2 linked regions of the Daphnia pulex genome follow. The protein of the gene in region 1 interacts with the protein of each later gene in a pairwise test. Links are inferred from orthologs where the notes say so. Each region holds a gene or a part of one and is shown on either strand. Other genes may lie near its edges.

The links.
Region 2: the proteins of breast cancer anti-estrogen resistance protein 1-like (region 1) and breast cancer anti-estrogen resistance protein 3 homolog interact in a two-hybrid assay, tested with the Drosophila melanogaster proteins (2 studies listed by BioGRID). The link is inferred for Daphnia pulex from reciprocal best matches to the Drosophila melanogaster genes p130CAS and CG9098.

The regions. Positions count from the first base shown.
Region 1 is NC_060021.1:6,680,074-6,684,399, forward strand, and holds the start of breast cancer anti-estrogen resistance protein 1-like, read left to right. Parts: upstream 1-1,300; 5' UTR 1,301-1,659; coding exon 1,660-1,767; intron 1,768-4,326.
Region 2 is NC_060017.1:3,549,898-3,554,503, forward strand, and holds the start of breast cancer anti-estrogen resistance protein 3 homolog, read right to left. Parts: upstream 2,818-4,606; 5' UTR 2,620-2,817; coding exon 2,536-2,619; intron 2,451-2,535; coding exon 2,336-2,450; intron 1,872-2,335; coding exon 1,787-1,871; intron 1,097-1,786; coding exon 1,012-1,096; intron 930-1,011; coding exon 820-929; intron 743-819; coding exon 595-742; intron 500-594; coding exon 1-499.

The sequences.
Region 1 (4,326 bases):
AAGGAAAGACAAAAATTGGCAGCTAAAAAACTGCCGGTCGTATAATCGCTGAGGCATGGCAGATTACCAAAGACGAGTGGCACACACACACACACGAAAGCTTTCACGATATAGACTATAGCAGTACCACCACGTTTCGGGATAGAAATAGCCAGGTCAACTCAACATTTCCTGGAATCCAACTCAAACTTTTTCGGGACTGATTGATTTAGAGGTCTCGGCTATTATTCGCGACGAAATGTTTCATAACGCCAAAAATTTCTTTCGAGGCAGCATTCATTTAAATAATGAAGCTAGCAAGCACGTCTGTCAGAGCTCTATCTCTAGCTTCAAAAAAACATTCCCGAGTTTCCCCAATCTGACGGTTGTCCAATCGTTTGGAATTCATGAAGAATAAAAATGTTTTTTCCAAGTTTCTGGTTGGTCCGTTCAAACGTACACGAATGTTCGTTGCCAGTCACCACATGGCGATGAGAGGTCGTAAGCGGTTTTGGCGCCGCATTCGAAAGTGCCTTGAATGTTTTTTCTTCTTTCCTTTTTGTTGAAGCGCAGCTGGCAATTCATCATCTGCGAGTCTCTTCTCCGGGACTCACGTCGCGACGGTCTCTGGTGGTGGACACGCCGTCTGTGAAACTCGCGTGCCCTGTTTTTATAGTGTTGCCCCGAAAAAGTTTGTTGATTCAGCCGAAATTGGAAGTCACCGACAAACGACATTCTTGTGTGTCACACAACACAACAGCCATCCACCAAGTCGTTTGCAAAAGGACGCAGCAGCACCGTGAGCTGAGCTGGGGAGGACGACCGCAGGACGTGAAAAGAAACTGTAATACTCTCCGACCTTGTGAGTTGTGCAGACCTTTTCCTACGTACACATTAAACATATAAGCAGCTATATACACGACACAATAGCCACTGGTGGTGCTGGTGCTGTGCTTCTGGGATAAATCGTCTCAAACCTGACGAAATTCCATGATATACACGCGACCATAGCAGACACACGGCCATTTTCCTTTTGTCTTCTTCCTGTTGTATCTCTCTTGAACGCAACCAAACAAGAAAAACAATCGCAGTCGGTTGCCAATAAAGGAAAGCACCTTAATTAGCAGCTACAACAACAACCTTGCGTCGCGCAGCTCTAAACCATCTTTTTTTGTTTTTCTTTCTCATTCTTTCGCCATCCTGGAGGTCTTAACAAGGACCGCACTGCGCCGTCCATACTTAATGTTTCGATAGAAAAACCGAAAAACTTTTGTTTTGTTCTTCCGCGGCTTTTTTTTAAAATCTCTGATTCGCAGCGCAGTCCCGATTAAGAAAAAAAGTTTCAATCCGGCAGCAGCCAGCCAGTCTCACAGTGTTCCGCTTCGTTTCTTTTTGGAACCGAATGGAAGAAAAACGGCAGAGTGAAAGAGCGAGAGAGAAGAGAGAGAGAGAGGCGATTTGTTCAAAACTCGGCTCTCCTGCCAATAGCTGCTTCACTCTTCAGCCCACCCGGTAGTGATAACAACACCACTCGTTTCTCTGTGTGAATTGAGTGATAAACAATTTTAAAGTTTTAAATTTAAAAAAGAAAAAAAAAAGGAGAAAACAGCGCATAGTTTTGGGCCGGCCGGACTGGAACACATTTGAACCACTTCACACAGAGTGTAGAAAGCAAAACGAATGGCTACGATGGACGGAAGTAGTGCTGCTGTCCAGACTACCATCGCCAGAGGCAACCAAACTAGCGTCTTCAACAATCAGCAGCAACCGGCTTGTTGGAATGGACTGGTAGCTAAAAATTCTATTCTTACGTATTATATTTTTTGAATGTGTTAAATCAGTTGGAAGAAGATCAGAGATTTTTATATAGGTATTGTAGATATTCAAATATGAGGCATTCCTCACTGTCTTTGGACAGGTTCCCCTTTTTCTCTTTCTACCGTCCGTAACGCCCATTCGTTGAATAATTCGGGAAAAAAGATCCCGCATAAAAAAATGGGCGCTTTGCGCGCGGGACTATATAGAAACAAAAAGTAAAGTGAGAAGCTCCGCGCGGTCCCAAGGTCTATCGTATCATCTAACTTAACCTTTCTTTCTTTTTTATTTGATTTGCTGTTGTACTATAGTGGTGGTGTTGTTTTGTGTTGTTGTGAATATGATTCACGAGCCAGTTTGAATTACTTTGGGACCGTGGAAATCTAAACAGCAACGCCATCGATTATGCACGGAGCTGTGAGATTCTAATCTTTTTAAATCAACAAGCGTTTCATAATATTGCGTATAGCCCTTACACATACATGTTTGTGATGGGTGTGTGCAGTGCACTGCACAGGGAACTCGACACTCGGCGTCCGAGAGAGAGTTTCACATCATATAGAATGCGTTCGGGAGAAATACGCACAGGCACGCAAGTTTAGTCTCGATACACACAATGCGTTATGATTATGGCTGACATTGCCGTGGACTGGCCGGTCCCTCCTCTCAACGCGTTCTTACGTAATAATAAGGGTCTCCCAGTTCGGCAGCATTGAAAGGGGTTAAACAAAAGGAAGGAATAAGATGAGACGAAGGAGAGATTTTCTTTTGAAAAAGATGTGGCGATAAGCTTTCAGGTATTATGATGGAACGCGCGTGCGGGAGAAAAAAGAAGAAAAATCCAGACGGCGCCTCTCGCTCTCGCTAACTCATCTCGTGGTAATTTTGTAGAGAGAAAAAAATAGTTTTCGATAGGCAATAAAGTAAAGATGATAAGGACATGGGGCCAACTGTTCAATTTCTACTTCAGAACTTTTTGAACTGCTGGAATCCCTCCATTACACGAGGCGGTGCTTAGTCGAAAGAAATTTAAACGGCCGGATGAGTGATTTGCGATATGAGCGGCTATTTTCCATCGTACATCAATTTGATGATTCCCCCCCCCCTCAAAATATATAAAAACGAATGAAGAGCATCGCGTTAGATTTCCTTTCAGATATACATTTTGAAAACGACGTTTTACACCTTGAAAAGGGCTTTGGCAGGTGGAGCGCAGGAACATTAAGGTGAATCTTTACTGGGCAGCCGTTCATCAGTCAAGAAGTTAACGATTCCTAGAATAACCTGGACGACCTCCTGTTTTGTTTCTCTAGTTCCTAAATCACGCGATATAAACAGTCCCGAATGTCTCTCTGCGCATATCTAATATAGTCAAAAGTGATTACATACCAAAGGAGATTAGAACTACAATAGCTGCCCCGATCATTTTCAAGGCGAAAGTTTGTGTCACGAAAAGAGAGAAAAGAAAAAACACATTCCGCGACGTGAATAAGCGGCACGTTCGAAGCTTATTTCTGCCAACCGGCGCAAAGCTGAAAAAGTGCATTACATGTGTTATCGCCATTTGGACGCTGTAATAAGATATAAGAGGATGTGAAATTCAAATTCTTATCAAATTTTGAAAAGTTTATGGGGAATTTAAATTTCGACAAAAACAAAAATATTAATTGGATCGTTTTCTTGCCTCTATCCTGCAAATCAATTTTAAGATGACAAATGAACAGTAACTATACAGATGTGACCCGTAAAAACAATTAATTGGACCTATGTTCAAACGTATATCTTAATTGATTACGAACAGTGATAGAGCACATGTTTCATCATCCATGGTTATAAATCTAGTTAGTATTAAATCGGTTTCACAATTTTTTTTTGATTAGGCGCGGTTGGTTAATTAAAATACGATGCCTTCAACAATATGTTGATGAGCAAGTCAGGATTTTAACTAGCCGTCGGATCAATTGATACTGGATTTCCATCCAGAATATAAAAACAAGTACATCCTTACCACCGCTGGTAAAACTCTATGAGGAAACCACTAATTGTAGAATATATTCCTGCCGAATCGCAAAATTTCTTATATACATTCAGTGTTCTCAATTGCGATCATACAGTTCATTATTAAAAAATTGAAAAATACTTATGGAGTGAGTCGTTAAGTCTGTTATAAGATAAGATTGTTGTTATAAGAAAATATGATGTGGAAGTAAATGGGACTGCGTAGTGCGTAGTTTTTGGACGAGAAATTAGAATTTTGACAAAATAAAACAAAAAAAGAACAAAACAAAAGTTCCCTTGCCTCTTTCTAATGCAATCTGATTTGATGTCAAATGAACAATAAGTAATCAGATGTGACGCGTAATAAAATGTTATTGGAGCTATGGTTTAAAGTTTATCTAACTTGATTACAACCAGTGTTTGGATACACATTTAATCATCCTTGCTGTAAGATTTAGTTAGCATAAGTTTTGAATTTATTTCGTTGAAAGAATAGACATGGCTGAGTAATGAAAACCAAACCTATTGATGAAA
Region 2 (4,606 bases), on another chromosome or scaffold:
TGTCGACGTCTGGCGGGAAGATCTGCGACGGGACCCGGCTGGGTTTGGGAGGACATGCAGGTGACGCCCCTGGCTGGATGGACAGTGAAGGATCACTGGGTCCCCGCCTCATCATCACTCGATTGGAGGCAGATTGTGTAGATCGGGGCAGCGATTGCGTCGAGTACTCGCGCGCTGTCGGGTGAACCATCCGCACTCGACCCGTCACCGCAGGTGTTAGAGGATTCCTGCCGGAGTACAGGTTAGTCGAGCCACCGTATTGGCTCGCGCTGCTGGCCGATGATGGATGACAGGATCGCGAGTCAACGCTGTAGCGACTCGAGTACAACGAAAGTGGTTTCGTTCGATTGATGGGCGTTGTAATTTTGGCGCCGGTGGCGGCCGTCACGGCCTTGCCACTACCGACGTAGCACGTCACCAAATCTGAAATCGTTTCGAACGGCTCCTCTTCCAATTTGTATTGAGTCGACTGGTAGACCGTGTTGGCTTGGATGATCACCTAACAGATTGTCCATTTAGTGAGGACAAATAATGAGGTCAAATAGTGCTGGATTGAGGCCGGGTCGCCCTATTCTTTTGTCAAGAGCTTTTTACCTTGTTAATCATAAAGTGTAGATGCCCTCCAAAATAGGTGGAGAGGACAAGGTCGCCCGGCTGACCTGTCGAAGAATCTCGAATGAGGAATTCGCCATCGTTTTTCAGCAAACTTTCCGCGTGGCTCCGGGGAATCGACCCGTGGTACCTAAAAGATCAACAACAAAAGGGAGAAAGTTGGTAGGGAAATCCTTGGGACCGATCAATGCGTATGTATGTATATACCAAGCGTGAGATTCGAGACATCGCCCGTCCAGTCCGAGTTCCCATTCCAACTGGCGGCGAAGGCTCTCAGCTTCCGACACTTCTGCGCTGGAAATGTTGTCGTAATCTTGCTGTCAACAAAACCAGACCAAATATAAATAAAGGGATAACGTTTATAAAACAGTTTAGGTCTACATATACTACAAGACTTACCATTTGTGAGATGTTGAGAACACTGGCACTGTGCTGCTGAAGCAGACTCCTGTTGTGCGCCGACTGCGCGAATTCCGAACGCGACCTGCGCGCACATCAAACACTTTTTTGTTTCTTTTTCAAATTATTTTTCAATAGAAGGGGAGGGAATCAGCTGAGTCGTGTTGAAAGGCGATCCTTTTTTCTCAGTGAACGACCAACGCACTCGCCTCGGATCGGAATTCAATGATGACTAATTCACAGCAGAGGATAAAACTTCAAACTGAAAATCTTTTTCAGTACAAAAGGCACCCGGGGCGAATGTATCGAATGCTTGACAGTTCTCTAAAGCTCTGCTCGTTTGAACCCCCAAACCGATTGGCTTGCTTCGTTGAGATTTTCGAAAGATATAGTGTATCAGCAGACTAACTGTGGAAAGCTATACGTTTCCCCTGGCATCCTCTCGTTTCCCTCCATTGATACCATCAACAAAGTTGGGAGGGGTGTGTTTGCCGGCTGCTATTGATTTTCATCTCGTCTGCCCTCCAAACTGCTTCCCCTCCCCCCCTCCCAGCTCAATGGAACGGAACGCTATTTTCTCACGTATACACATAATACACAGACATAGTGCGACATCTAGTAGTCGTAGCACTTACTATACTACTCTCCTTCCCAAAAATGTCTTTGCGTGACTCCCGTCCGCCCAATGGAATAAAATAAATAATAATAGAAAAAAACAAAAATAAACATTGACCAACGACGGACACATCCTGTTTGACTGATTTCCGACACCCACCTGAATTTAACCATGCTGGCGTCATCGACGGAGGAAGTAGAAAAAGCCGGCGAAATTCTGGGTTGGTTCTCTTGTTTTCGGAGTCCTGGAATTTCAGAATAAAAAAAGTGAAATCATATCAAGAGAATGCGAATCATATCATCAGGCGAGTCGAGTGCATTTCATTTCTGAAATGTCGGCAACATTATCAGAGCAAAGCTTTGCGCATTACAAAACTAATAAACAGCACGCAATCTTTCGAGCTGCATTGAAAATGGGCCCCGATTTTGTCGATCTGTGTAACGTTGAAGATAAGAACATTTGTTTGCTGAGGCACAGGTGGGGGGAATTGAAATTGATACAAAATTGGTGCCGTGTCAAGGTGAGTGGCTCGCGACGTGAGTTTGACGGGCTTGTGAGCACGAGAGCGCAAGCCCTGAACGAATCACGCGCTTTAAAACCGGCCACTTCCGGTATTAAGCAAGTTGTTTGTTACTTTCTGGACATTATTTCCCCTTTAAACACTTGTTTTAAAAAAATCGCTAGTTAAAAACCATTGAAAACACTTACGAAGATTATGTTTTGCTCTGAGCAACACAAGGCTGGAGACGATTTTGGCCCGGTGAGCGCTGTTCTTGATTCCAATCTGATTCATGATGGCCGATTCGTCCAGATGGAGGATGTCCTATCAATAGCCATTAGTTTCCGTAATAAGTCACATTGTCAACAAGGCAGCTGTGATTTTATCAAGTTGTAGTGATGTAGCCTACCTGTACGCCATGGAAGCCTTCGAAAAGATGCTGGTACTGCAGCAGATTTAACGAATTCAGCCAATATTTAATATCTAAATGCATTTCGTCCGGTGTGCGTTTTGTATTTTTCCACTCACTGACTAACCGCTGACGAAAACGTGCCGTTGACTGAAAGCCAGAACGAAGACTAGTCTCTCCTACGGTACACACTCACCTGAACCGTACATAATCAACAAGTAGGAAGCGGTTCTAATCTCAGGCGCGCCGGGCAAGAGTCAGATTTCCACTCTGCTCCCTAACCTCGGCATTTCAAATAGTTTTAAAAGCCTCGGGAATAAATTTCTTAATGGACTCTCATAGGGACAGAGATAAAGACACTGCAGCCGCTCTGCGTTTTGATTTACTGCCCTTATCGGCTTCATAGAACTACCTGTCTGGTAATATCGAGCAGTTTCAGAGTGGATTATTATATATGCCCAGTCATGTAGACGTAACACGGGAGCGCGCACTCGAAACCTTTTCTCAACCACGGAAAGTTATCGGGCCACTGTATTCTTGGAAATAAACGTTATTACACATCGCATTACACCAGCAATTGAGCAAGTAGAAAAATGGTCCCCACCGATAAATCGCGTCGATTTCTGTACCATAATTCGGGAGTTAATCAGCCTTAAAAAAAGATTAAAACCGGACATTAAAACATGTTGCTTCACGTTGTTTTGCACGTCACGGTGCTGGCAATATTTCAATTGTTCTGAAATTGCTTCAAGGTTTTTGAGAGTTGCATTATTCCTGTGAGATATAATACACCCACTGCGTGACAATCGTGAACTAGGGGACCGAGTTCTCTTCACGAATCCTAGATGGCGAGAGCGTCCGTGCGCATTTCAATAATAATGACGTCTATCGTCTAATAGTAATTTTCTGTTAAGAGGATAATCCTTCAACGTGAAACATAACTTATTTCTCATTGTCGACCGACAAAACTGCAGTTACTTTCAAATAAAAAAAAAGAATACCATGCGTTATAAATATACAGGTCCAAGGTAGAGCTTTGGATTCGCTGCTGTTAAATGCCCGATTTTTTTACGAGCTTTGGCACCGTCTGGAAGCCAAATTATTTTTACTCTGGTAAAAACCGTTTCTTTATTCTTCAATTGTTCCCGGTCGCAATCGCCCGCATTAAAATAACTGAACCGTCCAGCAAGGAGCTCAGGAGCTGGGCTAATATAATATCATAAAGCATCCGCACTATAATATTAGCTACAGCGAGCGCGCTGTATAGTGAAAATGTATCAACATATTTTATGTAGGTGCTGGAACGAGAACGGTTGGAATATAACAAGACAAATGGAGGACTTTGACCGCAGCTTATTTATTTACATTAGGAACTGGGCGTAACCACAGATGCTACTACTACATCTACTGGATGAGCCGTTCAACTCTGAACACATGAGAGTTTGGGAATGCCAACGGCCGTTGCCGTCGTCACAGTCTCAAAAGCGCCGTGAAATCGGCGGCTAAATTAGCGTATCGCACATATTCCGGACCGTCCCGTCCGGTTTAACTACATATCCCTTCCGCTTCCGCACGAAAAAATGTAATTATCTCCAACGAAAATGTAACAGCGAGGAATGGGTATATAAAAACAAGACGAAAGGCCGGGGGAAAAAATCAGCCAACAGGAAAAGGTTATGGATGGGGACGATTACAAGTGATGAACGATCCTCGGGATTGACAGCGGACGATTCGCGTGCATGATAACTGTTTATTTGAATATTTGTGCCCTATGGGCCAACCAAAAATTAAAAAAACAAAACAAAAATTGTCTAAGGGGAAAAGGGGCTAAAGCCACCTGACGCTGGCACTGATGGCCAATGAGTTCCGTATGGCTGGCCACCAATTTGAGTTCATCCACCACCACTGAACAAAAAATAAAAACGAAAATTGAAATAACTTTTCTTCAGTATAACCAGCAAGGACCCTTTGGATAGGCGAGGGATTTTGAACCTTTTTTTTTTACTTTTTCCTTTCTTTGCGGTAAACGCAGCACGTAAAAGAGTATAGCTAAAAAGGTTTAAACCAGCTG